Linked DNA regions of Oreochromis niloticus. The protein of the gene in region 4 interacts with the protein of the main gene of each other region in a pairwise test. Links are inferred from orthologs where the notes say so. Each region holds a gene or a part of one and is shown on either strand. Other genes may lie near its edges. The genes, in order: spred1, igf2bp3, eif4a2 and pih1d2.

What was found.
Region 1: the proteins of pih1d2 (region 4) and spred1 interact in binary tests that used the Homo sapiens proteins (3 or more experiments, as listed by UniProt). The link is inferred for Oreochromis niloticus from reciprocal best matches to the Homo sapiens genes PIH1D2 and SPRED1.
Region 2: the proteins of pih1d2 (region 4) and igf2bp3 interact in a two-hybrid assay, tested with the Homo sapiens proteins (2 studies listed by BioGRID and IntAct). The two-hybrid records come from large-scale screens. The link is inferred for Oreochromis niloticus from reciprocal best matches to the Homo sapiens genes PIH1D2 and IGF2BP3.
Region 3: the proteins of pih1d2 (region 4) and eif4a2 interact in binary tests that used the Homo sapiens proteins (3 or more experiments, as listed by UniProt). The two-hybrid records come from large-scale screens. The link is inferred for Oreochromis niloticus from reciprocal best matches to the Homo sapiens genes PIH1D2 and EIF4A2.

The regions. Positions count from the first base shown.
Region 1 is NC_031983.2:16,022,475-16,029,433, forward strand, and holds the start of spred1 (sprouty-related, EVH1 domain-containing protein 1), read right to left. Parts: upstream 3,013-6,959; 5' UTR 1,987-3,012; coding exon 1,955-1,986; intron 1-1,954. UniProt on the Homo sapiens protein: Tyrosine kinase substrate that inhibits growth-factor-mediated activation of MAP kinase. Negatively regulates hematopoiesis of bone marrow.
Region 2 is NC_031985.2:24,856,279-24,864,013, forward strand, and holds the start of igf2bp3 (insulin-like growth factor 2 mRNA-binding protein 3), read left to right. Parts: upstream 1-4,718; 5' UTR 4,719-5,312; coding exon 5,313-5,487; intron 5,488-6,202; exon of another isoform or gene 6,203-6,269; coding exon of another isoform or gene 6,270-6,327; intron 6,328-6,442; coding exon 6,443-6,503; intron 6,504-7,735. UniProt on the Homo sapiens protein: RNA-binding factor that may recruit target transcripts to cytoplasmic protein-RNA complexes (mRNPs). This transcript 'caging' into mRNPs allows mRNA transport and transient storage.
Region 3 is NC_031982.2:10,206,577-10,213,504, forward strand, and holds the start of eif4a2 (eukaryotic initiation factor 4A-II), read right to left. Parts: upstream 3,003-6,928; 5' UTR 2,878-3,002; coding exon 2,849-2,877; intron 1,997-2,848; coding exon 1,939-1,996; intron 1,841-1,938; coding exon 1,708-1,840; intron 1,661-1,707; exon of another isoform or gene 1,586-1,660; intron 1,455-1,585; coding exon 1,315-1,454; intron 1,104-1,314; exon of another isoform or gene 1,029-1,103; intron 923-1,028; coding exon 754-922; intron 677-753; coding exon 567-676; intron 530-566; exon of another isoform or gene 350-529; intron 267-349; coding exon 123-266; intron 58-122; exon of another isoform or gene 1-57. Other genes in the region: setd9 (SET domain-containing protein 9), read right to left, coding at 4,868-5,746; dcun1d1 (DCN1-like protein 1), read left to right, coding at 6,079-6,081. UniProt on the Homo sapiens protein: ATP-dependent RNA helicase which is a subunit of the eIF4F complex involved in cap recognition and is required for mRNA binding to ribosome.
Region 4 is NC_031979.2:26,671,730-26,679,087, reverse strand, and holds the start of pih1d2 (PIH1 domain-containing protein 2), read right to left. Parts: upstream 3,006-7,358; 5' UTR 2,741-3,005; coding exon 2,558-2,740; intron 949-2,557; coding exon 822-948; intron 750-821; coding exon 510-749; intron 360-509; coding exon 88-359; intron 1-87. Other genes in the region: tmprss5 (transmembrane protease serine 5), read right to left, coding at 3,270-3,278, 3,793-3,945, 4,029-4,171, 4,304-4,402, 5,310-5,494, 5,629-5,791, 5,956-5,999, 6,107-6,220 and 2 more.

The DNA.
Region 1 (6,959 bases), on a different chromosome or scaffold from region 4:
TGGAAAGTGGCTCAATTTCACAATGTAATATGGTGAAGACTACTATTGGGGGGGGGGGGGGGGGGGGGAATGATTATCCTTGACTCTTAAAAAATGTGGCACACCAAATCTTTTTTTTTTTAATTTAGTCAATAGATGTCTCATGAAAAATATTTCATTAAACAGACGCTTTTCAGCAAAAATAAATGGCTCAGGCAGCGCTCAGTATTCCGTTCACTCCATTACTATGAATCATACAAGAGGAAAGGTGGTGAAATCTTAGCAACAATGTTTGGATCACTTCGCCATTTTAGCTGCTGCCATCATGCTGTGTGGAACTGAGGATTTTTATTTTTTAGCCTGTGGCAGTAGTTCTCAAAAATTGGGGATCTGGGGTGTGGATGAGTTCCCGAGATTATTGAAGGGAGTCGCATCAAATTTAGGAGATGAGGAGGTTTCACCAATTCACACAATTCAAGCTGAATCAAGGTTTATAGCAAATATAGCCTGGGATGAATTCATATGTGAGCTCCTGTGCTTTGACATGAGGAAAAATAAATAAATCCATGACATATGTTACATAAAAACAAAACAGTGTAGTTCAAGGACAAAACCTCCATGCATTAAATCAATCAGCCTCACAAAGGCCAGAAAGATTGAATGGGGGAAACAAAACAACAACAACAACAACAACAAAAAAAAACATGGGTGTGTTTCAGACATTAAACAGTGACACTGTAAATGGCTGAAAAGGGCATATGACTTCCTCTGTGACAAATGAATTGTGAAAGAAAAATCACGTCGACATGGTTAAGAAAAAACATGTAAAATAAACGACTAGAAAAACGAGCACAGGCGCCTATATGCGACGTATTGTACCGCGAATGCAGAATATGTGATCACTGTGTGACCGTCGGTGCAATGCGAAACAGTGTACAGTGCTGTGAATGGGCAGGCAGGTACTTTATGAATGGAGGGGATCATGTGACCGCAGCACCTCCCGAAGCAGATATTTCTCACTGACTGTCAACAAGCGCACACAAGGGATCAGCCCATTAAAACAATACCAAAATGCGAGCTGAAATGGGCGCGACGTGTACAAAAACACAGCATGCACAGATCATAATCGATGTCCGTAGGTTGTGAGGCTCTGGGCGTGAATGCGATGCCGTTTTTTAAGCGTTTTTATGAATGGAGGATTGTGATATGTAAATGAGCATGATTGAGAAAAAAAAATGGCATCTTCGGCTTTTCAATGCCGACATTGCCGCATTAACCGCGAAGAGCCTTCATTAAAGAAAGGCTAGACTTAAAGACAAACACAATCCGCAATATTTTAATCGATGATTATGTTCCGAAATCATGGCGGACAGCAGTTAGACACAGATCGGGGCTGTCAATGCAGAGGACTCTGATCGTGATGTACCGAGCAAGCACTCACATAAAATTATATTTAGATTACTGTCACCTATGCGTCTGCTCCGAACGATCCTTCGTGAATTAATACATTTCCCGAACATATAATAATACACCAAGCAAGCAAAATAAGCAAAGATTAGTACACCTCAAATGTTGTGGCTTTAATGTGAATTCTCACAGCATATACTGGTTAGCAGTATCATAAGCCTACAAAAAAGTAGCAACGAGATTAATATTTTACTACGGATCGATGCCACCGTTTCCCCGGCACGGTTCTGTTTAATCTCACAAGGCAATCCTTTCTATTAGCTTGATAAACAAACAAACAGGGGGGGAAAGTACAACGTGTTTCTTATTGTTGATATTAGTAAAACAAGACGATGAAATGGCAACGTTGCTCGGTTAGAAATGTCACCGGGAACTAACGTAGCTCGATGCTCGGTGTGTTAATATCTACATATATAAGCACATATTGAAGATTAGCTGTGTGTTTGGATGTAAATGATAAAATAATAATAATAATATTAAAATAAAGTGTGTGTAAAACAGGACTCACTCGTTGTTTGGATTTGTTGAATCTTCACTCATTTTTTTCCTCACGGGGATCCAAATCCTAGCAATAGCATCGACGACGCAGTGACGGCGGGATAAAATACCACATATATCACCATTTTCCTTCACATACAGAAATAACCCCTATTTCGGATAGTAAATAAACGGCGTACAAGGGGCATGCCTAACTCAGCGTCCCTATGAAAAGCAAGTGAAGCTAGCTGGACGTTAGCTTTTGCTGGCTGGGCTCTAACGTTAAATCGCGAGGAGGAATGACAATCGTTGATTCATTTTATCCTCCCTGGAAGTAAAATCCGACCACAACAAATGGGCCATCTGGACCATCCTCTTCAACTGACACAAATCCCCGGCTTGCAAAAATGTGCATAGATCCTCAAAAAATGTAGAAACCGTTGTAGGTTGTATCGTTTGGCAGGTTATTTATGGCTGGCTGTCGAGCATCCATTCGCCAACTTCAGGTCCAGGACAACACTTGAAAAAGAGCTGTGCAGCGTTGCTCCGTCAACGTGTCCGAGTAATTTTCAGTAAAGGCATCCAATGCCCCCCAAAATGGTCCGACTGTTTTCAGTATTAGCACCGACAGTTAAAGTAAAAACACATAGACTTGAAATTTCCTTGAGAACTTGATGGACATCTGCTTTAATCGAACTCCATTTTCAACTCGGGGGGGAATGAAACATCGGAAAAATGGGCGGATATGTCGACCCTCGCTTGAAAAAAGGATCCTTCCGCGACGTAGTAAAAACATAACACTTGTGATAGAAAAAATACCAACCCAGCACACACTTTGCTCTGTATGCTTAAAGAGTAGCGTATATTATACTAAACCGCGTTCCCCCGTAAGCGTATGCAATAAGTTAGTAAGATTTCTTTCTAAAGTTGACCTAAAGTAGTCCCCCCACTTCCCAAAAGAAGTTTCCCTTCAATCACGCATTGAAACAAGAGGGAAGCGTCTGTGTGATAGCACGCAAAGTAGGCTAGAAAATAATCTAGAGGAAGGACCTGAGCTGACACGGAGACTTGGTCATTAACAATTTCTGGTATATTCTTTTTTCAGTTGTATTATCGTGATCTACCTCCCCTCCGAACCGCTTTTAAAATCCTAATGCAAAATAGTGGGGAAGTGCTGCAAATGTACACAACCGAGAGTGCTGCAGCACGTGGAATTATATCAGACCCTCTTCACGATTTATGTGTTTCAAATCAAGATGGTATTTCTATCGCTGAGCGTAGGCCAGGGTTATTTATTATTCAGTGATAGCAGAGTGAAAAGTGAAAGACTGTAAAGCGGCAATTCAGAAAATGAGGATTTTTTTTTTCTCTGGAATGTAGAAACAAAAATCTGAGTAGGGCATGGTGTGGGATTTTTGAGAACTGTAATTGGCCGTAAATGTAAATAAAATACAGGCATTAGGATTACACTATAAGCTACAAAAAGGGGTGATCACTAGAGAGTAGGGGACTAAAACAACTGCATGTGGCTCAAAGTCGTGCTTCTAAAACTGTACCAGGCAGCTAAAGCTCCCTCCAGAATAAAACAGTCTAAGAAGTTGCCAGAAAAATCCATGTGTGCTTCTATGAATCTTAGTTGCAAATGTGTTAAAAGCCTTTCAGAGCAAATCGGCAGCCTGGTTGCATAAGACTTAAATGCTATTGGATTTCTGTGCTGTGTGGAAAAGGCAAGAGATCAGGCTAAATGATTCTGCCTGGTTGTCATAGTGACAACATGTTGTGTGAGAAGTTTCTTTGTATTTCTCTGGCTTTCATACAGCTTGTGCTACAGTATTATGCTGAGGGCCATATGAAACGTCCCTCTGTGTCACTGTACATACACTACCAGTCAAAAGTTTGGACGCACCTTCTCATTTAATGGTTTTTCTTTATTTTCATGACTGTTTACTTTGTAGATTCTCACTGAAGACATCCAGACTATGAATGAACGCATATGGAATTATGTAGTAAACCAAAAAAATTGAAATAACTCAAATTTTGTTTTAGATTTGTCAAAATAGCCACCCTTTGCTTTGATTACTGCTTTGGACAATCTTGGCATTCTTTTGATGAGCTACATGAGGTCGTCACCTGAAATGGTTTTCCAACAGTCTTGAAGGAGTTCCCAGAGATGCTGAGTATTTGTTGGCCCTTTTGCGTTCATTCTGCGGTCCATCCCACTGCAGGATGCTGTGGTAGCCGTGCTGGTTCAGTATGCCTTCATTTTGAATAAATCCCGATCACACCTCCTCCTCCATGCTTCACGGTGGGAACCATGCATGTAGAGATCATCCGTTCACCTTTTCTGCGTCACACAAAGGCACGGCAGGTAGAACCAAAGATCTCAAATTTGGACTTATCAGCCCAAAGCACAGATTTCCACTGGTCTAATGTCCATTCCTTGTGTTTCTTGGCCCAAACAAATCTCTTCTGCTCGTTGCTTTTCCTTAGTAGTGGTTTTTTAGCAGCTATTTGACCATTAAGGCCTGATTTGCGCAGTCTCCTCTGAACATGTCTGTGAAGGTTCTCAGTCATCCAGGTCATCGTAGTCAAAGGAGTTTGCAAAGAAAAGCGTCTGGACTTCTTTAAGTTGCTTGAAGACGTTTCACCTCTCATCCAAGAAGCTTCTTCAGTTCTAAGGTCAAATGGCCGAGAGTCCCAGATTTAAACCCAGTGGGAGAATGGGTTTAACTGTTCCTCTGAACAGTTGATGTAAAGATGTGTCTGCTACTGGAACTCCGTGTGGCATTTATCTGGGCTCTAATCAGAGGTACTGTTAATTGGCAATTTCTGAGGCTGGTGACTCGAATGAATTTATCCTCAGCAGCAGTGGTGACACTCGGGCTTCCTTTCCTGGGGCGGTCCTCATGTGAGCCAGTTTTGTCATAGCAATGGTTTTTGCGACTGCACTTGGGGGACAAATTTAAAGTTTTTGCAATTTTCCGGACTATCGTTTCTCTTCACTTAGCTGATTGGTTTAAAAGGCCTAAAAGTCATTGGACTAGCTGACAAAAATTTAAATATCCATCCATTCATCTACTTTCTTCTGCTTATCCAATTTGGGAGCGTGTAATATTTGACAAGGCTAACACCAGAGAGACAGTTAAGTATTCATGTTCACATGAATAGTTAACTATGTCTAATTTAGATTTACCCGTTAATCTAATCCATGTATCTCATTGAACTGTGGGAAGAAGTAAAGAGAACCTGGGATACAAGGATTGTTTTTAATACTTGAATTGAAATCCTGTAGAATTAGACTGTAGAACCCACGGACATCAAATCCTGTGTTTCTTCCCTTGAGATGTTCTGCCAGGCTTTTAATGCAGCCACCTTCAGTTTTGTCTTCAGTAACTAAAATTATGCCCTATTGGGCTGAGATCAGGTGACTGACTTGGCCACTAAGGAATATCCCATTTCTTTGCCTGGAAAGACTGCTTTTGCAGCATGTTTTGGGTCATTATCTATTTATACCATGAAATACCGCCTGATCAGAGTATACCCCTATACACTTCAGAGTTCTTCCTTCTACTTCTTTCAGCAGTCATATCGTCAATAAACACTACTAATCAGATTCAGTGAGCAGCCATACATGTCCATGGTATAACATTGCCTCCGCCATGTTTGATAGATGACGTGACAAACTTCATGAGCTATTTCATTTTTTCACCATCATTCTGGCAGAAGTTAATTTTGGTTGCATCAGAGCTGGGCAGTCTTGTTTAAACGTTTTCTATCAAAGTCTAATTTGGCTGTGCTGTTCTTGAGTGTAACCAACAAGTGGTTTGCACCTTGTTATAAACCTACTTACATCCATGAAGACTCCTTTTGATTTTAGACTATGTGGCACATTCTTGAGGTTGCTTAACTTTTGTAGATGTTTTGAAGAGGTTTCTCTTAACCTAGAAATGAATTCTGTGATCTTCCAGGTCTATTGGCCAATGTATTCTTTTACATATTGTTCCAATTATCAATCTGATTACTCCCAACGTTTTTGCTATCTCTCCAGTTGGTTTATTTTGTCGTTTTTACGCCTTGTGTTGGCCTCATTCACTTGCATGGGCATGTCTTTGAACCTCATATAAAATGTCATGTGAAAAGCTATGAAATTCTAGTTCAAAATTCGGAATCAACTCTTTTATCTGCCTAATTTGTGGAATAGGCTTCTCTTTGTCACGAAACTGCTTGTCAGTCAATTGTCCAGTGAGCCTCTGAAAATGAAGGATTTTATGTATAAAAATGACCATGAATCCAAAACAGACTGCCTGAGAGCAAAAGCTCTCTTGGGATTGTTTTCTCAAAAAAATAATGATTTCAAGCTGACATGAATGTTTATACAAGCAGTCTGTATTATAAACGGGGTAATCAGGTTAGGATACTGCATCTTTGTTTTATTTAACATGGCCTCTTCACTTATTTCTGATTAAGTTACCATGATCAGGTCCAAACGAAGTGTCCCTTGATTCAAAAAGAGCAGAAAAGAACAATGAACATGATTTATTTTTCCTACTAGCATGCCTTTATCCTTTAGAGTATTTAGAGTTCAGGAAGTCAGCCTTCTTTCTCATCTCACAAATGTGGATGACCCTAGTCCATTTCCTGTGTTTTTCACACTGAACATACCACACAACGTAGCATATTTAAACCAGCCAACAGGAAGTTTAGCTGATAGAAGCATCCCTCCTTGACTTTATTCACTAAATGCAATCAAACTCATCACAATATTCTTCAAGGGAGATATAACATTCCTGCATTGCCAACAAGGAACCACCGAATGGATGATATTTTTAGCCCGATACAATCCTCATTCATCAGATCTAAGCTGATGAGTGAAATGATTTAAAATACCGCAGTCTGATGTGACTGGCGTTAAGTCATGTTCCTTTATTTTTCAGTGACTCTGCAGCATGAATCTTTATTTACTTGAAGCGTCTGATGTATCTTGTAATGTGAAAAGAATGTGATAATTCGATGTAAGCAAAAATTATAAAATTACC
Region 2 (7,735 bases), on a different chromosome or scaffold from region 4:
CACGCACTAATTAAAACGTTAATTATTATCTTTAACATTTAAAAGCTAGATGGTTGAAGAAAATGTCCATAAACTATTTGTGTTTTTTTAAACACTTAAATTAATGAACAAAAATATTCAAAGTCACAGATGATCATCACAGCACTTTATTTTAAATATTCAATATCCACATGCTTTTAAATCACACCTGCATTTCTAATCAGAGGAAACGGACAACTGACTCTGCTTAAGATTCAGCAAATCACGCACTTTCTCGCACAACAAACACAAACCCAGTGCAAAATTGCAAAGTGTTAAAACTCCAAAGAACAGCAAATCATGTTTCCATCTTCTTTCAGAAAACAAGTCATTGAAGAAATTGATTGCTTTTTGGGGGGGTTGGCGTTAAGGGAGGAATTTTTCTCAACACGTATCACACTGTAACTAATCAATCAAGGTGCTGAAACCAGTAAACAACAGCTGCCAGAGGGGAAGGTTTCCTATAAGAGAGACAAAGCCACATGCTAAAGCATGGCCGTTCAGTATAGCTGCAATGTATACCAAAGTCTGCAAATGTTCATGTGACTCTGCGTGAAAACTTTTCATCCTTCATCAACATGTGCTGCTAACCTACACAAAGGCTCCACAACAATAGACCAAAAAAAAAATGCAGTCAGCTCCAGATAACATAAAACACAAAACTCAACAAATGTTTATGACGTCAAAGTGCATTTTTGTTAATTGGGTGTTAAATTTTTAAAAAGAGAGGAAAAAAAGAAGAAGAAATAAGAATTTGTAATTACAGCTGCTACAGACGCCATGCTTTGTGGGGTGTTCACTAAGCTCAGAATATAACCAAATGATCAGCTACTTGGTAAATATTTTAATTACAAAAATAGATAAATTAATAAAGGAACAGTTGCTGCCAACTGAAACCAAACAATCGTGTGACGGCAGCTACGTTTGGTTGCTTTTTAAACCTCCCCTCCTTTTCCAGCAAAAAAAAAACAAAGGGATGATTATTTCATTTAAAACATCAGCATATATAAGCAGTCCTATCATCTACTGATGGCATAGGAAGAAGAAACTTTTCCACACAAATTCCCAGGATTTAAGTTGTGTCTGGGGGGTGAAAAGGGTGTATAAGACGAGAAAGCGAGAAAAAAGCTAGGGCAGATTCTTTACTGGGATTATTCGTCTTTTTAAAAAAACATAACAGAGATATTATCTGGAATATTTGCTATTTTGCCAGCAGGCTATGGCTATCCCCATTTAACTGCTACAAGAAATATTCCTTGGCATGTGCTTTAGGGGGGCACAAACCGCCATTTTCTAATGAGATGAAGGGTGTCATCTCAAAGCAGAATCTGTGGAATAAACATGCCCTTTTTTAAGGGTTTTTTGGAGCCTGCATGAAAGCACTTGATGACAATAGAAAACACATGTATGGAGCAGAAAAATGAAAAAAATAAAAACGCAGTTGCATTAACGTCGTTAAGGACATTGTTTGCTTTTAGTTAATGATACTGTAAGGCTCTAGATTCTTCTCAACATGGCGTTCACCACAGTCTTCCCTGACTCTTGTCCGAAGCGGTCAGCAACTGGATTAAATGGTTAAAACTCACGTGGAACGACAATGTTGTTAAAGATGCGAATCGCCTCGCAACAAATAAATAAATAAATAAAAACATAATAAAGCAATCTCACCGGAAAACAGAATCCTTGATTCTCTGTAGCCTAAATAGGATTGTGAAAGAGCCTTGCGCTTGGCGACGTAGACTATATCTTGGAGCGAGGCCAGCAGCTCAAAGTTGGGCTATAAGCTCTCTCTTTAAAAAAAAAAACCTAAACAATCTCCCTCCCTTCTTTCCCTCCTTGACTTTCCCTCTAGAAATATCCTAGACTATGTTTAAACAGATCGATTTTGTCAGTTCTTTTCCTACACCGACATTAACCGCAGAAAATCTTCCCACATAGGATGCAGTCTAGTCTGAAACTTTATGTCAGTTTTGCCCCCTATGGAATTTGTCCATAGCGAGGAGCCCTGAAGCTGGGGGCGGGGAGACTTTCTGTACATTCCTCAGCGATACATTCACTACTCCTCTTGCAGAGCCTGCAGCCACACACACACACACAGACACACACACACACGCGGGCTGCAGCCATGCATCGGCTCATTTAAACCGACAGAGACTGGAGAGCAACTTAACATGACTGCTGTCTCTATACGTTCAGCCTGTGAGACTACCAGCTCGGAGACACTGCCCAGCTGGCAGAGCTGGCATTCACACAGAGCCCCATCCGTGTGCGTTTCGTTATTTCACGAGGAGTGGAAATGGTTAACGACTAATAAACGGGGTTTTAAAAAATTGTATGAGCTTAACTAGGCCGACGGAAAGCGCCCTGGTTTTAAATAACCCTCATATAGATCCATACAGGAGAAAGACTACAGAGATCTAAGCACTCACTAATAAGTTAATAAGAAACTTTTCGGGGAGCAGGTCTTGTAACAAATTATGAAACGATTAAAAGTCGATAGAAAGTTGCTCTAAAGTTGAATTTTAAACCCTATTTCACGCCTTTATCACTTAACCTATTTAAGGGTTGCCCTATAAATCCAAATACAACATAAAGTTCTCGGAAAGTTTTAAAGAGGGTATTTTTTTAAACGCAAAGCGCTTCGGATTTAATCACTGGCGTGTTTCGTTACATCTTCATGCTTCAAGCCATGACAAAAGCCAAACTGGGCAAACATGGGGAGAAATGCATGATTGGCGCGCTGATTCATATAGAATAGTCGAGCCGGGGAGCCAATGAATGAGCGCGTTGAGGCCGAGCCAGCAGGAGTAGTACGGAGCAGGTTTGCGGCTCTCCGATTGGACAGCCTTCTCGACCAATCAGACAGCTCGGTGTGTTTGTTCAGCAGCAGAGGAGTAGACCCACCGAGACAGCAATGGCCCCGGTCTGTGAGCCAGTGGCTGAAGGGCCAACACTCCCTTTGTAACCTGCTTTACATGAACACGCACACCTTGGCCTGTTCATTAGCAGACGCTTCAGAGACACGGTGCTATCACCTCAGCTCCAGAGAAAAGCTTTTGTTCCCTTCTTTTTTGTAATGCCACTTGCAGGGCTGCAGAGACGACTACACCCACTCACGTTTCTAACTCTTTCTTAAAATACTTTTCAAAACAAGATGGCCACAAGTCAAACATGGGCTTACAATGAGTTAAAATAAAAGAATAAGATTAAAAAAAACCATGCATTTAAAGGAGAATGAGATGAAAGTTACTGCTATTATGTAACTTTTTTGTAGTTGACATTGTTGCTCTCTGGCTACTTCTAACTAACCCGTCACGCCGATTCATCTAACACAATTTTATGAATGAAAGCGTGCCCTCCTGTATCCCCACACACGATCCTGAAAAGAAAATAGATCCATGCAGCACATATCTAAAGTATACTGTGTCACGTCTCCTGAACACGTGATGAAGTTTAAGCCTCGCTTTAAAGGTGCTGGGTTTAAAGCTGAACTTTAACATTATAATGCAGACAGATGCATTTGGGTGCCAGCTTGTTTGGTGCATAAATCTGAAACTAATGCTATAAAATGAATGCTAAAAGTTTTCTACTAGCTCTTCTCTCAAACTGCTTTAAAGGGGCACGGATTCAATTTTATGGTCATTTTGGCAGCCACTGCGGCTGAATTATGCTCTCCGTATATTGCAGTAACGTTCAGGAACACTGCAAACTATAGCCTGCACAAAGGCAGAATTTATTGTGGTACTTGACTGTACATGTGCTTATAAATTTACGCTTTGGGGGATCATTAGTGTTTTGAAACTTTGTGCCCTGACAATATATCATCTTATTGACATCGCCAGGCATTGATTAATCTGCCAATTAGTCCTGTGTATGCAGAAATGACCTGTGGAGCGACCCGTTCGTAAACTGTCGACCTCTGCCTATGGTTTACAAAAGATCTTACAGACAGTTGTGTAATGTTTTAAGACACGTATTCCACACGTGATTGAACTGGGCTTTGCTTTACATAGTACGCTAGGGGCACATTGGTGTGGGAGACCCCTCCCTCTTTCAGTAAATTCAAATCCATGCTGGGGTATAGCAGAGAGGATTCGCCATGTGTGATTCGCTCCACATGGCCAACGCTTCGTAGTTGTGCCAAACAGCCCAAAAGACGACAAAACAAATGGCGTGGCAGCACTCATTTCGCCCAAAGATACCCTCTCGACGTGACCAAGAGCAAATGGGGCCTGCTGTTGGACTTTGAGTTGTGGATCAGAGAGGGCATGACTCCACTCTTTGCAGAAGATGGATACCGTCATGGAGAGTAGTAGCCTACGTGTCATTCCCACAATGCGTGAGGGCCCAAGGAGTTTCACAGGACCTTTCCCCACTCCCCACTCAAAATACGTACAACTGAATGCGCTCTATATGCAATTTAACAATATGGTGTCAAAAAAAAAATCATTTATGAGTGTCCCCACCCCCTTTTCCATCCGCTATGTCGCCAATGCAGCGCACTTAGCACAGCCGTGCGCACAAGCCCCCGCAATATCAGCGTCTCCCTGCTATGGGCGTGCGTGCGCGCACCGCCGTTTTTACTATTCCTCATTCGACCAATGAGAGTCGAGGCTGTGCAGAGAAAGGCACACGAGTGTGATTCTAGTAAAGATACACTAGTTTCTCACGGAATCCCTTTACGCACAAAGCTCGCCAGGTTTTTTCCCAACACCAATCCACTCTTCCCCTCCTTTTTTTCTTCACTCCCCTTTGCTGTCCCCACCCCAGATTCCCGTGCAATTTTCCCCAATCCCAAACACTTAATTGAGCAATTGGGATTCCTCACGTGTGGGCTGATTTGTAGTTTGAACACGTGGCTCATTCAAAAAAGCCGGAATAGCTGAGGATTTTTTTTTTCTCTCCCCCCTTCTTCTTCTTCTTATTCTAGGCTCTAGACTTAGAGGCGGGCGCCAGCCTTACCGTGTGTGACATTCTCTGTCTCTTTGCCAAGGGGTTTGGAGGAAGACACAAAGTAGTTTCTCCTCCTTTTCACCCAGCCCGCCATCGTTCGGAGACACGAGATTAATAATTGAGCATTTATTTATTGCGCGATAGAGACAGAGGGGCGAGGGAGCGCAAACGCACTGTGAGGCTGCCAGTTTAAATCTATCTGTGGCTTGAACGACCGGGAAGCACGCCACAGCCACTCCGTAGTAGTAAAGGCGATTTAGGCTACTCCAAACACTGCACATCCGCGAGAGCAAATAACTATCTCTCCCTCAGCGTAAAGATTGTCCCTTTCGGCGCAGAACATGAATAAGCTATACATTGGCAACGTAAGCGCAGAGGCGAGCGAGGAGGACTTCGAAACTATCTTTGAGCAGTGGAAGATTCCGCACAGTGGTCCATTTCTTGTCAAAACTGGCTATGCGTTTGTGGATTGCCCGGACGAGAAGGCAGCAATGAAGGCCATCGATGTTCTTTCAGGTGAGATAATCTGGGGCAAAAAGGTGCCATTAGGAAATTCTCCCAAACTGCTGCAATTGTGTGAAGATTGCCTTACTTCTGGTGGTGGGGGGGGGGACCCTATGAGAAATGCATGTAGTCCTGTAGGGTGGGGGTGTATCCAAGCGTTTCTTTCTCTCACACAACCTTTACTTGGCCTTTTGACACCGTGGGGCTCACACAAATGGCTTCCCCCAGGTTTGAGTTAAATTCTGCCCTTGTAATTTGACTGAGTGTAGCTTGGTAAAATGCTAGAGTAAACACAATCCTCAGTGTAAGCAATGCACGTTATGTGCCGTTCAGGGCAGCGAGCGGGGCTGTGGAAGCCGTGAAGTGAACCCTTATTGTGAGCTCTATCACACAGCCCCAGCTTGGCACGATTGAAGAGTAATGTGTCGCCGCTTTCACCAGTTTCTACTGGAACTTGCACTCTTCTCCAGGTTTCAAAATACAGGCCTTCTCCAACAGCCTCCACTCGCTACACTGTGAAGCCATTTCGTCCATGCTGACACACCAGGTGGTTTAATTGTGTTGGCCAAATGTAGGCCAACTAACTCAGGCAGGCACACCACATTTAGCCTTTTTTGTACATTAATCACCCCAACCCTTCACGGCTTGTTGTCTAATTTCAAGTTAAGCATGCACCTACAGAACACGTAACAGCTGAGCTAAACTCGTTCACTATTTTACGAATAGTGCTAATGTCAGGCTCATTTGTCCTCGTGCTACCAGTGGCTCACACACTTTGAACAATTTGTGCTCCTATGCGAGAAATATCCAGCTCGCAGTCATGCCTATGTGTGCTTCTCTGGATTTTTAGTGGTAAACATTAACTCCTGTTTTCTCAGCAGTATGCAGGCCTACACGAGAGGTCATGTGGTTAATGAAATTAACGTTGCTGTGTTTTGATAATCTAAATTTCTCTTTTCTTTTTAAGGTAAAGTTGAACTTCACGGAAAAGTTCTTGAAGTGGAGCACTCGGTCCCTAAACGTCAAAGGTACGTGGGTTTTTTATTAAATAGTGCTTGGTTAAACTCGTAGAAGCCCCACATATATTTTTAAATCAGTCACCCTCTCTTCCTCGTCTTTTTTTTTTTTTACTTTGACCTCGTGTGTGTGTGTGTGTGTGTGCGCGAGAGAGTGTGTTTTAATAATGCTGCATGTGTGTTTGTTGCCAAGCGTTACATATTTATTTTAGTTAAAATACGTACGCCCATCATTTTCCCCCCCTTATTTTTTCCCTGAATGCTCTTTGGGGTCAAATAAAAGGGGCGTATGGCGGTCTATTCCTTCCTCTCGCCATGACTGAGGGAGTGCTCCCAAAACCGTCGTGCATTTGAGTTAAACCATCTCATGGCTGTCTTCTCCTCGCTTGCTCCATTCACTCTTGTGTTTTTTAGTGTATACGTGCAGTTCTTGGCGATATTAAAGCGCAAAGCTCAGGGCGAGTACTAAAGCCCCGAGTGTGCAGGCTGAAATGTGTGCTGAGTGAGTGCAGGCTGGATTTGAGGCGTACAGGCCTTGTGAAGTCGTCCATTTGAGAAGGATCTGCCCGTCATTCTCCCTTGCTTGCCCTGCGCTTCCGCCCTCTTCAGCACATTGTGCTGCTGTTGCATGAGATGGACTCCAAACGCGAGTGGAATGGGAGGTTTGGGACCCAAGTCACGAAAACCCTTGGTTTCAGAGTTAGACGCCCGTAGACACACTGGGCGGTTCGGTGTATGATTTCCAAAGGTGCACAATATATTTTTTTGTGTGGTCCTCGGAATATGTGCAGTGGACTTAAACATAGGGGCGATTTTTGACATGGTGTGCGTATTTTTATATTATTTGGTGGCGATGCTGTTTGGTGAAAAATAAGCATTTTCTTGAATTAAATTGCTTTTGCTTGATGATGGTTGCGGCAATTTCTGACTAGTATTGCAGGTTTGCATTGTTTGTTCTCAACGTTTAACTGTGATCTGCTCTTATGTAAAGAAATGGGTCACACTTGAAATCACAAAGTCCTGCTGGAACACGTAGGCATTAAAAAAAAAAAAAAAAAAAAACTGCTCCCCGTAACTTGTATGTATTTAAAAAAGCATTTTGGTTATAAAATGGAGCAAACGCAGAATTCGCGAGACCTTTACATGAAATGTATTTTCCACGTGGACATCATAGAAGCATTTCCTGGTGGGCTGTTGGTCTAAATTGTAGCTTGGTTAAATAAACCAGGTGTACTTAAATGAGA
Region 3 (6,928 bases), on a different chromosome or scaffold from region 4:
GCTAAACCTGTGAGGCTTGGCTCCTGCAGTTTTAGCAGGGTGCTTTAGAGAGAAGGGAAATTAAAACATTCACAGTGGTACAGGATTATCCTAAAACCGTAATGTGCAGAAATGTTACCAACCTCTCGCTCCACATTAATGTAGAACTGCTTGATACCCTCAAGGGTAAGCTCTTCTTTCTTCACCAAGATGCGAACAGGATCTCGCATGAACTTCTTAGTCACCTCCAACACATCTGCTGGCATGGTGGCTGAGAGCAGGACCACCTGAAGAAGCAGCATTACATGTTACACCACCACCTCCCAAAAATCTGCGTAAAATTTGGTACAGCGTATTAGAGGCCAATGCCAATTGTGGCACTTCACCTTGAGATTGCAGCCAACGAACATTAAGAAAGAGGTTCGACCACATCTCATTTTCAGTCAAGTGCACAATAATCTCCTTCCACGTAAAAATCTGCTAGCATCATTGCATGAAACAGAAAATCTGGATCACACAATTATAGCAGACCTCTGTTGATGCGGAAGGGCATCTTATTTGTTCTCTGGTGTGCGTCAGTCTCTTACTTGAATGTTTGTGCTCAGTTTCTGGAAGATCTCATAGATCTGATCCTTGAACCCGCGACTCAACATCTCATCGGCTTCATCCAGAACAAACATCTTGATCCATTTTGGAGCTGCAGAGAAATGTCATGTTTGTTAGCAAACATATCACCAACCCAAGCTTCCAGTAAGCAGGACCTGTAATACTTACACAGGTGTTTCCTGTTCAGCATGTCGTACACACGTCCGGGTGTGCCCACCACTATGTGAGGGGCCTCGGCCTGGAGCTTCTGTATTTCACTACGGAGATTGGTCCCTCCAATGCAGGCATGGCAGGTTGCCCCCATGTAGTCACCCAAAGCCAGAATTACCTTCTGGATCTAAGAGGGGGAGATGGGACAGAGGGAAAGAAGAACGTGTTTAAGATAATGTGGCACAGAGAACCAGGCAAGACTTGCAAACTCCAGACTGCAGAAAAACTGTTTAAAGTGATCAGTAGAGTAAAAGAAACTCTCCATTTCAAGAGTCAGTCCCGAAAGATGGTATGCCATCACATCACTCAGTTTTTCACAGAAAAATTCGAAAGCATTTCACCTTTCAGACCAATGTAGCCACGGACAGAGACTACATTAGCTGAAGATACTCGTCAAATCTTTTGGAATTTGAACAAATCTTTAAAAGATTGTACCTTATGATCTGAATTAGTGTCCTCAGTACGCTGCTTAGGTCTGAGGTACTGCTGAGGTTTATGGTGACCTCAGGAACAGCATACCTGCTGAGCCAGCTCTCTAGTGGGAGCCAAAACCAGAGCCTGAGTCTCCTTCTGCTCAATATCCAACTGCTGCAAGATAGAGATGGCAAATGTGGCTGTCTTGCCAGTTCCAGACTGGGCTTGAGCAATGACATCATAGCCTGACAGTAAGGGGAAAAAATTATTTTAAGTCCATATATTTGTTTCTCAAAACAGAAACATGCAGACAGGCTAAACAACAAAAGTCATCCTTTGCAAGATTTAACTCATCAAGTAACCATTTCACAGTATTGAGTGATCAGCATGAAACAAAGTTATCCCCATGTCTTGGGTAAGTCCCGAAAGATGGTAGACCATCATTTCACTCAAACATCTACAATCCTATTCTGAGTTTAAAAAGAAAGGTATCTGTACCTTTGATGCAAGGGATGATGGCCCTCTGTTGAATGGCAGATGGTTTTTCAAAACCATATGCGTATATGCCCCTGAGAAGAGTCTCCTTCAGGTTCATATCGTCAAAGTTGTCCGTAATCTCATTCCAGTTGCTCTGAATTGGGGAAAACAGCACATGGATGAGTTAGTACTTTACTGATCAATTTACAGCCAAAAATATAGCGCCAGTTTATATTTCGCCTTAGTACTTACCTCGATGACACCATCAGGCTCCATTCCATCTGGCCCCCCATGGTCTCTATCTCTTGAGCTGTTGAAAATGAGACACTTCAATTTTCACATAAAATGTGCCCTTAAAAATTAAACTGAACGCATGCTACAGCGATAGTTTCTTCGAGGCGTCACTTAATATGAAGGTATGCTGCCCACTCATCTCCAACAATAAGACCGCCTATTTCGCGCTCACGGTGAGAAACTAAAACACAGAAATTACGTTAGATATGTAGTGAGATAGTCAATCGTAGTCTGGGTAACGCCCCGGGGATGTAGTTTCACAGTCTGGAGGTTCACTGAGCGCACGTGTCAAATTGCACGAGCCGGGCTCAACTGCAAGTCCTTAATAAAATGGCCGCTTACGTAACCTGTAAAGGTTTGAGGCTGGCTCCTCACACCCACTGTGGTCCTCGAGATTAAAATTACATCTGTACACGCTGGATGTACCTCAACATGGAGCTCTGCTTCGCTCACCATTAGCCAATATGTCGGCCAGTTGGGCCTGTACTGCCAACGGTGCCTTCTACTGAGGCCTACATACAGCCTGGTCCGACGGCTCTCAATTTGGGTAATCCCCAGCTACGACCGTAAAAATGAGTTTTACTTATCACTACAAAGTCCCGGCGTGCTTTACGTTAGACATGGCCAAATATTAAACATTTAAACCAGAATGCTTTTAACAGCAGTTTGGAACTACGGTGTGTAACGGAGCGGCTAGCGTCACATAGCTAACAGTTAGCAACAGATCACCTCAACAGCGGTTAGGGCCTAGTTAACTACTTAATAACTAAGTTTGTATAACACCAACTGCAAACTACTTTCGCAAGGTTAAGCGCAGATAACTATCCAGTGTCGTTTTGAAAAAACACGACCAAATGTCTCCTGTTACCTGTTGTAATCAGCAGAATCGCTAGACATGATCCGTTCCCAACTTCAGCATGCGAGTGGAAAGATCGCTGCTCGAGAATACAACTGCATTTATGGAGCCGGACTATTTTCACCGACAAACTCAGTACCCAGTTTGACTGATAATAAAGTATTAGTTGACTGACTTAATGTTTGAATCACCTTTTATTTAACACAGTACTTGTTGTGTTCAAATGTGTCTTTAGATAAACAATAAAACATTAAAATTGTTCCAGACTATATTCCTCGGCGGAAGGATATTGCAGTAATAGTGGGTGCTCGGGCTCACTACCGTGTCTCTAATAGGTCAAAACTCGCTCTGAAAAGGTTGTGCAACATTTTTGGAGAGAAGGTTTGCGTAAGGCCCATGCAGGCGGGGTTCAAGAAATAAAATGAAGTGTAATACCACATAGAGCTAACCGAGGCTTTGCTGTCCCAGTGTGATTATTAAACAACTTTTAATTGGCATAGAGACAAAAAGGGACAATGCTGCAGTTTCTGTGTCTTTGACACACTGTTCCATACTGATCAGTTTTGTGTAGAGTTAAAGACTTGTGAAAAAGCATATTGGAGAATAGCGACAGCAAAGATGGTTGTACTTATTTGGGGGTAAAAGTTAACAAACCTTAATTTAAAAAAAAATCAGATTTGACTGGAGATTCCATACATGCAATTTTTATCTCCTGGTGACCTTTGAGATGAAAGTTAAGTTAGATAATGCTTAAGTTAGTATCCACTGAGTCAGAGTGGTGAGATTTGCTTCTCAGGACTTTGATAAAGTACCCAGTTTAGCTGAGCTAACACAACGCATTTCTCCCTGTGTCATCTCTCTACTTTACCAGTTTCACCTTCTTGGAGAAGTTCCTGATTTACTTGGAAGACTTTGGACTCTACTCTGGTTTAGACCAGAGCAGAGTTAACTAGATTATTATGAGATTATTATTATACATATTCAGAAGATTATTCTCTAAGTATGAGAGAAGCATCACAATAATAATCAATTATGAAGCACACTCATGTGACTGGATATAATATCCCTGTTTACTTTAAAAAACAAATCTAGATTCTGTATATTTAAGCCTTCCCCTACAGCAAAGCTGTTTTAATGGGCAGCTTTTCTCTGATCTCAGGTAGTCGTGTTTGTATTGATACAAAAAAGAAAGAGCATATTTCTCCCATATTAGCTTTGGCTACCTGTTAAATGTAGACTCACACTTAATATCCCTCTCCTCACATACAAGATATTGAATAATCAGGTCCAATCTTATCTTAAAGACCTCATATCACCCTAACAGAGCACTTTGCTCTCAGTCTTGTGGTTCCTAGAATATTTAAAAGTAGAATAGGAGGCAGAGCCTTCAGCTTTCAGCCCCCCTCTTCTGTGATTGTTGGGATTTTCTCTCTATGACTGTAGAGTTTTAACCTTACTGTTTTTGGGATTTAGCACTATGTAAATAAAACTGAATTGAAATTGGATTGCACAAGTAGTTCTGTTATCTCTATGCTCTATTTCAGTGCATTTCAATAGGAAATATTTTAATTATTTAAACTCCATGGACAGTTAACAGTTAAAGCTTTCAGCTAAAACATTTGAGCAACTCTATGGACCATCCAGCAGTATCAGCGCACCACTCTTAAACATGACCTTGTGATGATTTTTGCCTCGGCCAATAAGAGGGACACTTCATTCTTTCTTTTCTGCTATAACTACAAAAACCATGAGTAAGTAGGCTACCATAATTCATATACTTAATATCAAATGAAATTACTGTCTTAACAACCATGAAAAGGTTGTGGTACACACATCAAATAAGATTACAAATACTTTATTCATCCACAGTTGCTCAGTTAAAACAGCCAACAACACAATACATCGTACAACAAAAAAAAGCTTTGCCTTTTTTCCAAAGGGAGCGGTTTGATTTTTCCTTTTTTTTTTCCTTTAATTAAATAAAGTGGAGATATGTTTGAATGTCACCAATGCAGGCTTTCGGAAACTATATTAATGCACAATGGTGTAGTAGTTAGAGAAGAGTTCCTCCCCTGCTGAAATGTCCCTGAGAGACACTAGCACAACACACCGCAGACGCCTCTGTGTACCCTGGCTGTAGTTGACGTTAGGGAGATACTGGTGGAGCTCAATGGGAAACTTGTCTGGCACGTCGTACTCCTGGTAGCACACGTTGGCAGGCCTCTCGTCAGAGCAGTTGTTCACATACTGACCCACAGCCAGGGGGTTTTGGGGAGTGTCTGTCAGCCAGCTTGTGTCGCTGGTCAAGAAAGGACCTATTCTGTCTCTTCCACTGCACGACTTGAACACCATCCTAGAGATGCCTTTGTCATTTCCATCAACCAGGATGCCATCAATGCATCTGAATACAAAGGGGTTTCTGATAGACTGAAGGAGAATGGGCTCATAGGGTTGGTAAACAGTGCCGGGATACATTGCAACTGTTGCTCCTTTGGGTACAAATCCCTTGGTGACAAAGACTCCGCTTCCTGCGAATGGTAAAGTGCTAGGTTTCCGCTCAATGCAGAATCCCAGTGTCTGTAACATGGCATCCTGTCCGCACACCGGATCTCCTCCAACCTGCTCTGCTTCACTTGTTAGCTGCGGCATAAACGGAGTCTGGAACTGCCTCTGATGAAACCCATGACTCCTGAACAGGGCTCTGAAGAGCGTCAGCAGGCTCCGCGAAACCTCCTCATCGGGGACTAGCTTGTCTTTCGAGCGCTCAGTCACATTCCGCAGTGTTTTCTCATTTTTAGACAGGTTGAAGACTACCCAAGGCACAAACCTGTGTCGGTAGGACTTCCATTTGTTCTGAAATCTTCGCAGAACAACTGTAAACATCCAGAGACTTGTTTGTATGTCGGACATTGAAGAACGAGGTTCTTTGGATGAATCGTCGAGTCGTTTCCGATAGCTTGTTTCAAAATAAAAAAAAACACTTGTTGCTATTTCAAAACGTAGAGCGAACTTTAAATTTGTTTTGCTTACATTTCTTTAGATATGTGTTGTATGTTTGATAAGGAACAAAAGAAATCGATAATTAACAATTTGGGAAGTTGTATAGGTTATATGCTATAAATTGTATGCTCTTATTTTGAAGAGCTGTGATTCCACCGGAAAAACTTTTTACGCGACTTGTAAAAACTTTACGGGCAGTAAGCCAGCTGGATGGGAGGAAGAGTAGCCCGGCAGTGACAAACATGGTACGAAATTACTCTTTTTTTTTTATTCTTGTTTGAAGTGGCAAATATAACATGTAGCCATTCGCATAAACGTATAAAAACACATCTCTTCGGATTCATATCATAGTCTTAAAACTGCTTTTAATACCTTAAATTCGCCTGAAATAATGAAAACAAACAGCCCCCTCTCCTTTAGCGTTAGCTAAGTAGCTCACAGTGGGGCTAACCAACAAGCACAGTGAGCTAACTACGATTGCTATCATTTAAACACACAAAATGACACAACTTTTAGATCGTTATCGTGTGGAATGCGTAACTTTATCAGTAGTACTGATATTAAGACTAAGAAACCGCCAGTCAGTACTCTGGAAGTCGGTGACTCCAATCAGCATAGCATGTCGCTGCTAGTTCCCTCTTACTGTGATTTAGATGTGTTTCGCCAGAGTTCACTGTAGCTAACAGCTAGCCTTCCCTTTGTGGTTATTGAAGAGCGGCACGATTATTTCGTTCAGTACTGAGATAACGATTATTTATCATTTTTTCAATTACAGAATTGTTTTTATTGCAGTGCCACATACAGACACCGCCTTCATATCTTCGCGTGGACACAACTTTTGTATCAAAATAAATTAGGTCCTCCTTAGTCACCTGAATTTAGTGCGCCTCAGAGAAAGAACAAAAACGCTGTACCAAAACTTAACACAAAGTTAAATCAGCAGTGCACTTCTTTTACATTTGCATTGTGCTACATCCCTGTTAATTCAACTTTATAAATTAATCTTTGCAGAGACATCAGGTCTTTATTCACCTGGCCTATTTGCATTGCCTATAAGCAAAATATAAAGTTTCTCACTCCATTCAGTGTACC
Region 4 (7,358 bases):
TTCTTATGACATCCAGCTACACACTGACACACACTGGATTCTAAAGTGCTTCGTTATAACTGTTCAAGGGAGTGTGTAACCACTAACCTTGGACACGCTCAGCTGGCACTCTGACATGGAGCAAACCATTGGCAGCTCCACCATCAGTTCCACGCTGTCAGGAACTCCTGCTGCATCAGTCTTCACCTCGAGTCGATACTCTGGCTTCTGAGGCCCCACAGAAGCGGCTGAGATGACCTGGATCAAATCCTTCTTTATTTTCTCTGCAGGCCTACAGATAATTTGAGGAGCAGAGTCCTCTTGGTTTTCTGATTGTAGGGAGGAGATGTGCTGCAGGAGGGCAGCTGGTGTCTGACCAGCTGTAAAAAAAAAAAAAAAAAAAAAAAAAAAAGGACTATGGATTATCAGGAAAATTGTTTTAGGAGGTGAAAGGAGAGTGGGTAAAGAGCACGGGTTCAACATAAAGTGCTTATCAAAGCTTGTCAGGGTTGACAGACTTATTGCATTACCTGTGTCGGGTTGTTTGGGGGCACTGGACAACTTCTGAAATCCAAGCCGGCGGTGCAACTCATCTGGGCTACTATTTGGGCTACTGTTGACAACTCTGTACTCCTGCGATAACGTCATCCCAAGCTGCTTCTGGGCAAAGCTCAGGGCCAGCATATAGACCTGGTTAATCTCTGCTTTGTTCTCCCTACTTTCCTGCAGCAACACAGGATTTAATGCCACATCCAGCACAGTATACCAGCCTGTAAAGGAAAAAGTATGACTTTCTTGCTTGTGTCATGTAATACAAATGGCAGGTCTGCAGCTTGACACACCTTGATCTTCATTTGTGCCTGTTTCCAGTTTTCCAGTGTACACTGGTAAAAGCCTGCTGGGATCCTGAGGCGCAGGCACACATTTCCAGCTGCATATGTTGATGTACAGCAGGCCTTTCTTTGGTTTCTGTCACAGAAACACAGTGCTATCAAAAGGATCTGTCAAAACAAACTCAATTTCAAAGTTCTAAGTGGATAAAAGTCTAGCATCTTTGCAGAGTGAAGTAAAAGTCTGTGTTTCTCATGCAGCCTGTGTATTTTAGGATATATAAAGCAAGCACAGCTTACAGCTCCTCAGCAGAAATATTTTTAGGTTATTACTTTACTCTTGGTTGGATAAAAACAAGAAATGTGATGACAAAGCTTTCACAGCTTGTAATGGACTATACTAATTAATAGGGCTAGAAGTTATAATCCCTGTCAGTATAACACAGAACTGAGTGGGTTGGAGAAGCCATCTAGATGGGGTGTTTGCTGCTGACCATATGGGTATGTATCCATCAGCGCGACACATCATCAGCTTTGTACCCCAGCTTCATAGTGCATTTCCATAATTTCTCACAAGATGCCCTTAGCCAAAGCAGACCCACCACAGGCTGATCAGACCTGGGTGTATTTCACATGGCACCCACCAGTAATTTGGCAGGCCACACTGTCTCCTTCTGCTTCAGCCAGCCCCTGTGACTACTTTCTTTTGGCAACAGTGGCAAGCTTTTTGATTAACTTGTATTAGGCTGCCCTTCCTGATGCCTACTTCCTTCGTCAGTCTTACTGTGGAGCTGGCTGCGAAGCCCCTACAGCCCACTTCCACTGAATGGACCTCCACTTTCCAGCCTTGGTCCTCTCTCTCAGCTTGCTCATGCTTTCTTCTTGTCATATGCCTTATTGATTGCATCCTCCCAAGGGACAATCAGTTCTACAGTGAAGACAGACTGGCAGGAACTGGACCAGAGAACCAGACCTGGGTGCAGGTTGATTTCAAGTGTAAAGGTATATTTCAGGAAGATAGGGCTTGACATGCTGTTTCTCACCTTCCCAGATGAAGGTTGTTTGTTGCAGAAAGGTGGCTTTAACTTCTAATGAGTTGCAGTTAGTCTATACTCTCCTGACTAATAGCTACAGACAAGTTAGTTGGTTATGTCACCAACTATATCCTCCATGTGTTAGACTGCTTTTGCAGCCCACCCGGATGTGTTTGAGGGTTGCATACAAGGGACACACTGCTGGAGTGAGCAGAACATCATATGTGGGCTGTTTTGTTTTCATATTCCATAGCTCACTACATTTGATTTTTCTTCGTTTTATGCCTTCCCACATCATTCAGCAGCCTTGTTAAGGTTAGAGGACTGCTGTTGCACATTGAGTCGATTCCTGGCAGTCCCTCTCCTCCACCATCAGATGCCTGCATTACTTGGGTGAGCCTTTTGCAGAGTAAGTGCTGTTCCCAATCCAAATTCTTCTGTAATGTAATTCCTTGTACCAATGACAGGACCTGAGACACTGAATCATTTAAAAAAAAAAAAATTTTTTTGATGATGGGTACTGAGCTGTATCCTAAATTTTCTGCTATTAAAGTTAACTTTCCCTAATTTGTGTTTGAATTTAGAGTATATATTTATTTATGTTTTGGAGGAATAAAGGTGGGCTTCCTTTCTAGCTGAACCAAAGAATGTGCTGAGTAACACCTGTATGGAGTGGGGCCTACACAGGAAGGAGCCTTCACGAATGAAACTCACCAGTATTTCAGTGCAGAGGCAGGAGTCCAGCTCGGGCGGTGCTCTGAATTCAGCTCCTTCCTTCAACTGTTTCTCTATAAGCGTACGGTAGGCTGCAGGGTCATTTTCAGAGAGATCATCCAGCATGGACCACAGTTTGCTCATCTGCTGCAAAACATCCTCTGTACTGCCAGTGGAGCACATGTTAAGGTAACTGTCGTACTTTTATTACCAACTCTAGCTAGTTAGCAGAAAAAGTTTGTGCGTCAGAAAACCAGCCGGTCAGCAGTGTCATAGAGGAGCATGTGTTATAGAAACACCTTAAATATCCGACAAATATGGAGCAGTATCACACAAATATTTAAAAAAACCAAACCAAAACAAAACAAAACAACTAATTACGTTCTGTAGCTCATTAGTTGTAATCGCTAACACTAGCTAGGCCAATGTTGTCAGTTGCCATAGAAACTATATGAAACGTAACACTGTTGCCACCAGGCGGTGAGATGCGGAACTGCGGCTCAGAAACCACACATGACAATAAGAAGCATAATTTATTTTCAATACATGAAAAACATAACGTAAAAATGCATGTTGATGTTTTCAGTCTGTCTTTATGTGTACATTATATAACTGACACGTAAAATAAAAAGTATCATGTATAACTGTAGTTTTCTAACGTTTCCACCAGTTTCATCAGAAGCTTCCTTCCTTTTGTTGTCATGAGCCCTCCTCAGTAATTCTGCAAAAATAAGGAAAGAATTAATATTAGAAATCGCTGTTCTGTTTTACAGTTTCCATCTCAATCCGGCTGAAAATACAAAAAAAGAAAAAATTCAAATAGCGGCATGGATGAAACTAATTAGCGCTTTCTGCAGTGTAGTGATATAAGAATTTATTGTAATATTTTAGATAAGTAAAAGTATTATCCCTGTAAAAAAGTATTCCATGATATGTAAATATCCTCCGTTCAAAGAGTTGTTATCAGCAGGGTACTTCTACAAAAACAAATGACCTATTTCACAGGCTTACTTTGATGCATTTCTCTCAACATAATGTTTTAAAACTGGCAAAAGTGGAGCTAACTTTTTAAAAATATATATATATAATGAAATTATAATTAAGCTGATCATGTGTTTTGCGTGTATTTTTTAACTATCGAGCTCAATAAAGAAGTATCGAATGATACTAAACCTCTGTGCTGTCCTGTAAATAGTTAGTTATTGTTCACTGTAGAATTAAAAAATGCTGTTTACCTCTATCATCTCGTAGATCCATCCCAAGAATTTGGCCACTTTGGTGTAAACTCCAGGATGATTGGGCTCAGCACACCCTGTTCCCCAGCTGACGACCCCCACCAGCCTCCATACGTTGTCATCCTGGCAAACCAGAGGGCCCCCACTGTCCCCCTGGAGAGGTAGGCCCAAACACTGCTCACTACAGCTACTCATAAAAGAGAAGCTAAATCTAGTGGTCAAAACAAGCCTCTGACCTGACATGCGTCCACTTTTCCCTCTGTGTAGCCGGCACATAGCATCCGTGCTGTGATCTCTCCATTGTACATGCAGGAGCTGTTACATTTCTTTGTGCTTATTATTGGGACTGGCGCCTCTTTCAGGGTGTCGGGTGAATGAACTACGGGTGAAAGTTTCAATTTAGGACTGCTCCACTAACACACTTGGCTCACTCTGTCACCATTTGAGTATGGATTAGATTTGTAGCAGAGATGCATTTGTTTAAGAGCAGAGCAGTGTAGTAACATCTTACCCCCGTCGGGTTGCGTGTATCCCCATCCAGAAATCCAGCACTGTGTTCCTCCTGGAAGGGCATAGTCGTACTGAGGCAGGCAGATGGGCCTGATTGTGTCTAGTTAAAAGGAGGAATTTTGCCTCTTAATACATTTAAATAGTTACAAGAGACATTAAGTTGTACTGCAAATATGGTTGGATTCATAAGTCATGTTAAGAAGTGTTATAAAACCACCCTTCACTGAGACGTGTTTTACCACGTTTAGACTTCAGTGTTTGTCATGAGAAAGCTGTTTTCTCTTTAGTCTCTACGCTCATATCAAATCACAGCTGAAAAACAAGGAAGCTTTTATGATAGAGAAGCCAACTGTGGTCCTGTATACAACATAAAGAAAGTTGTCTCCCACTGAGATCAGAGCAAACAAAAAGGTAGCAGCCATACAAACTCACAGAATAACTTAAATATAACCGAATCTACATAAAATGCATTGTGTACAAAAATAGCCCTGTGTCTCTCTCATTGGATTCTATATGATGGCCTGGTTTTTTGTGTTTTGTTTTTTTTACACTGTACAGTATTTGCATATTCATGTATTCTGTCCTTTGGAAGCTACATCTGTAATTCGGTTCATTTTTATTTATGTGAATTCAAAACAATAGTCATTTCAAGGCTCCTTATGTTGTGAGGTAAAGAAGAAACAAAATTACAAAGACAGACCCAAAGATCCCTCAGGAGCCAGGAAGGAGAATAAATTTCAACGTCTCAAAACATCTGGAGGCGGTGCTTTAATTGTTGCTGAGACTGTAAGCTTATGTGTGAATCTTAACAGCTGATTCTGTGAGATGTTAAAGATATTGGGAGCCTTTTCATTTGAAGTGTATATCACTTGTTATGATTAGAAAAATTAGCATAGCAATAGCACTTATATTGTTTATGATAAATTGTTATTAGCATATGAAAAGGTAAACTGAAGCCAAAGTACTTTTTTTTTTTTTTTTTTTTTAAGTGCTGCGATGAGACTGACCTGAGAAATTGAACGGGGTCCGCAGCTTCATCAGTGCTATATCGCTGTCGTGGGTCCTGTGGTTGTAGTTCTTGTTGTAGATGATCTTCTCCACCGCGTAGCCTGCATGCTGAGCCGTTTTAGCAGAGCTGCGGGTCACAATGCCAGCATAGACCACCCAGCTGGATATCTGAGGTAGCCTGTAGCTGACATTTGGGAAAAGAAAAGAGAGAGTAGATACTGATACTGCTACACTGGTACAGCTGTTAATGACTGATTATTATCCTTCATCGTGGCTGCAACCTCTGACCTTTAGTACTTGTCAGGTCAGCAGTCTTACTTGTGTACACAGTGGGCAGCTGTGACTACCCATTGACTGGTGATGATGGAGCCTCCGCAGGTGTGACGGTTGCTGTAGTAAAGGCTGACCTGCCAGGGCCACCTGCCCAGCGCGGCCTCCACGCCCCCGATTATCCTGGGTAGCTTTGCTCGTGTGCCACACTCTAAAGATCCATTCATCAAAACGAAACGAAATTGGGTTGGTCAGAAAGAGCAGCAGCAGACGCCATCATTCATCCTGCTCTGATATAAAGCTTTTGTACAAAAACACTACTGGCCTCTGTGCGAGGCGCAAACTCAAATTAAAAGTTAAGTTTAATTTGCTCACCAAAACACTGCAAAGCGATAACCTTCCCTGTGATACAACTCCTCCTAAATGAAAATAAATTGGGTAACTAATGATGCATAATTAATGTATTAGCGGACGCAATTTTCCCTGCACCATTATGAGTGTGATGTCCTCTGACAGATTGCCTTACCTGAACTGCCACATATTTTCCAGGCTGCTCTTTTGTTCTGAGGTAATTTGTATGAAGCCGTCAGTGTAGTTTGGCCCGATATCAGTAAGGTTCACTCCTTTATGCTTGGTCAGTCTGGTAAGGGAACATTTGAAAAATGGGTGGGAGCGAGTATTGAGATAATTTAGTCTCATGAGGTGTGAAGCAAGATTATAAATGAGGTATTAATAGATCATAAATAAGGTGAGCCTTCAGCCTAAAATTAAACCAAGTTTGAGAATGGGCTCTCAGCTTTTTTAAATGGTGCTATAAAGAAGCAGTGTGTGATCCTCGCAGGACTGCGAAAAAGCATCACCTCAGATAACCCAGCTGTCTGCAGACCAGTGTTCCCAGCGAAGAGTTCCACCTCTCATAGCATACTGGAAGCCAGGTGGGCAGCTTCCCCAGCTGGATCTCCAGGAGGGAGTTCTCAGGACTGATTCTGTAAAACACTGAACCTGATTGATTGAAAATCCCTCCAGAGACAAGCTCTCAGTCAACGTTAATGATCAAGCCTCTTCTATGAGTGGGAAATGATTAGGAAAAACACAAGTATCTATGCTAATGTAGTCAGTAGAAACAGATCATTATGTGTGATGTTTTCATGTCGGTCAATGGGCATCTCTCAGGAGTGAAGAGAAGACAACAAGTAGCAGCTGCTGAATTTTAATTTTTGTTACTATTCAATTAAGAAACACTTCAGAGGTGACCCATGACCTGATATAATGAAGTATATACAATAAGCTAAGCAGCCACGCATTAACGTGCTGCATTATAATTCATAAAACAGTGAAAGAAACGCTACCACGAGGGAGTAAACACAGACCTTTCCGCGAGTCCGATGCGGAAATATCCTCCGTCACATTGCAGAAGGATGTCTCCTTTGTATCCCCAAGCCCCACTGGGCTTTGGGAGGACGATGGCCTCAGCAAAAGTTTGACTAAAAGTGGATTAAAAGAGATAATCTTTTAATCAGGCTGCAAAATGGGCAGCAAAACGTTGTTGATTTTTCCTAATATTACCAGATTATCTGAATGAGAACCCAAAACGGACCAGCGTCTGAGACAGCAATAAAATGTCATTAAATATTGTTCATTTCTATCTGCAAATCCAGCTAATTAGAAAACAGCTAATTAAAAAACAGATTCATTTTTCAAAATTTTCTCTATCTTAACTTGAATGTTGTCGCGTGTTTCCATCAAATTTGGGAAACTTCAATGCAGTAAATAAAAAA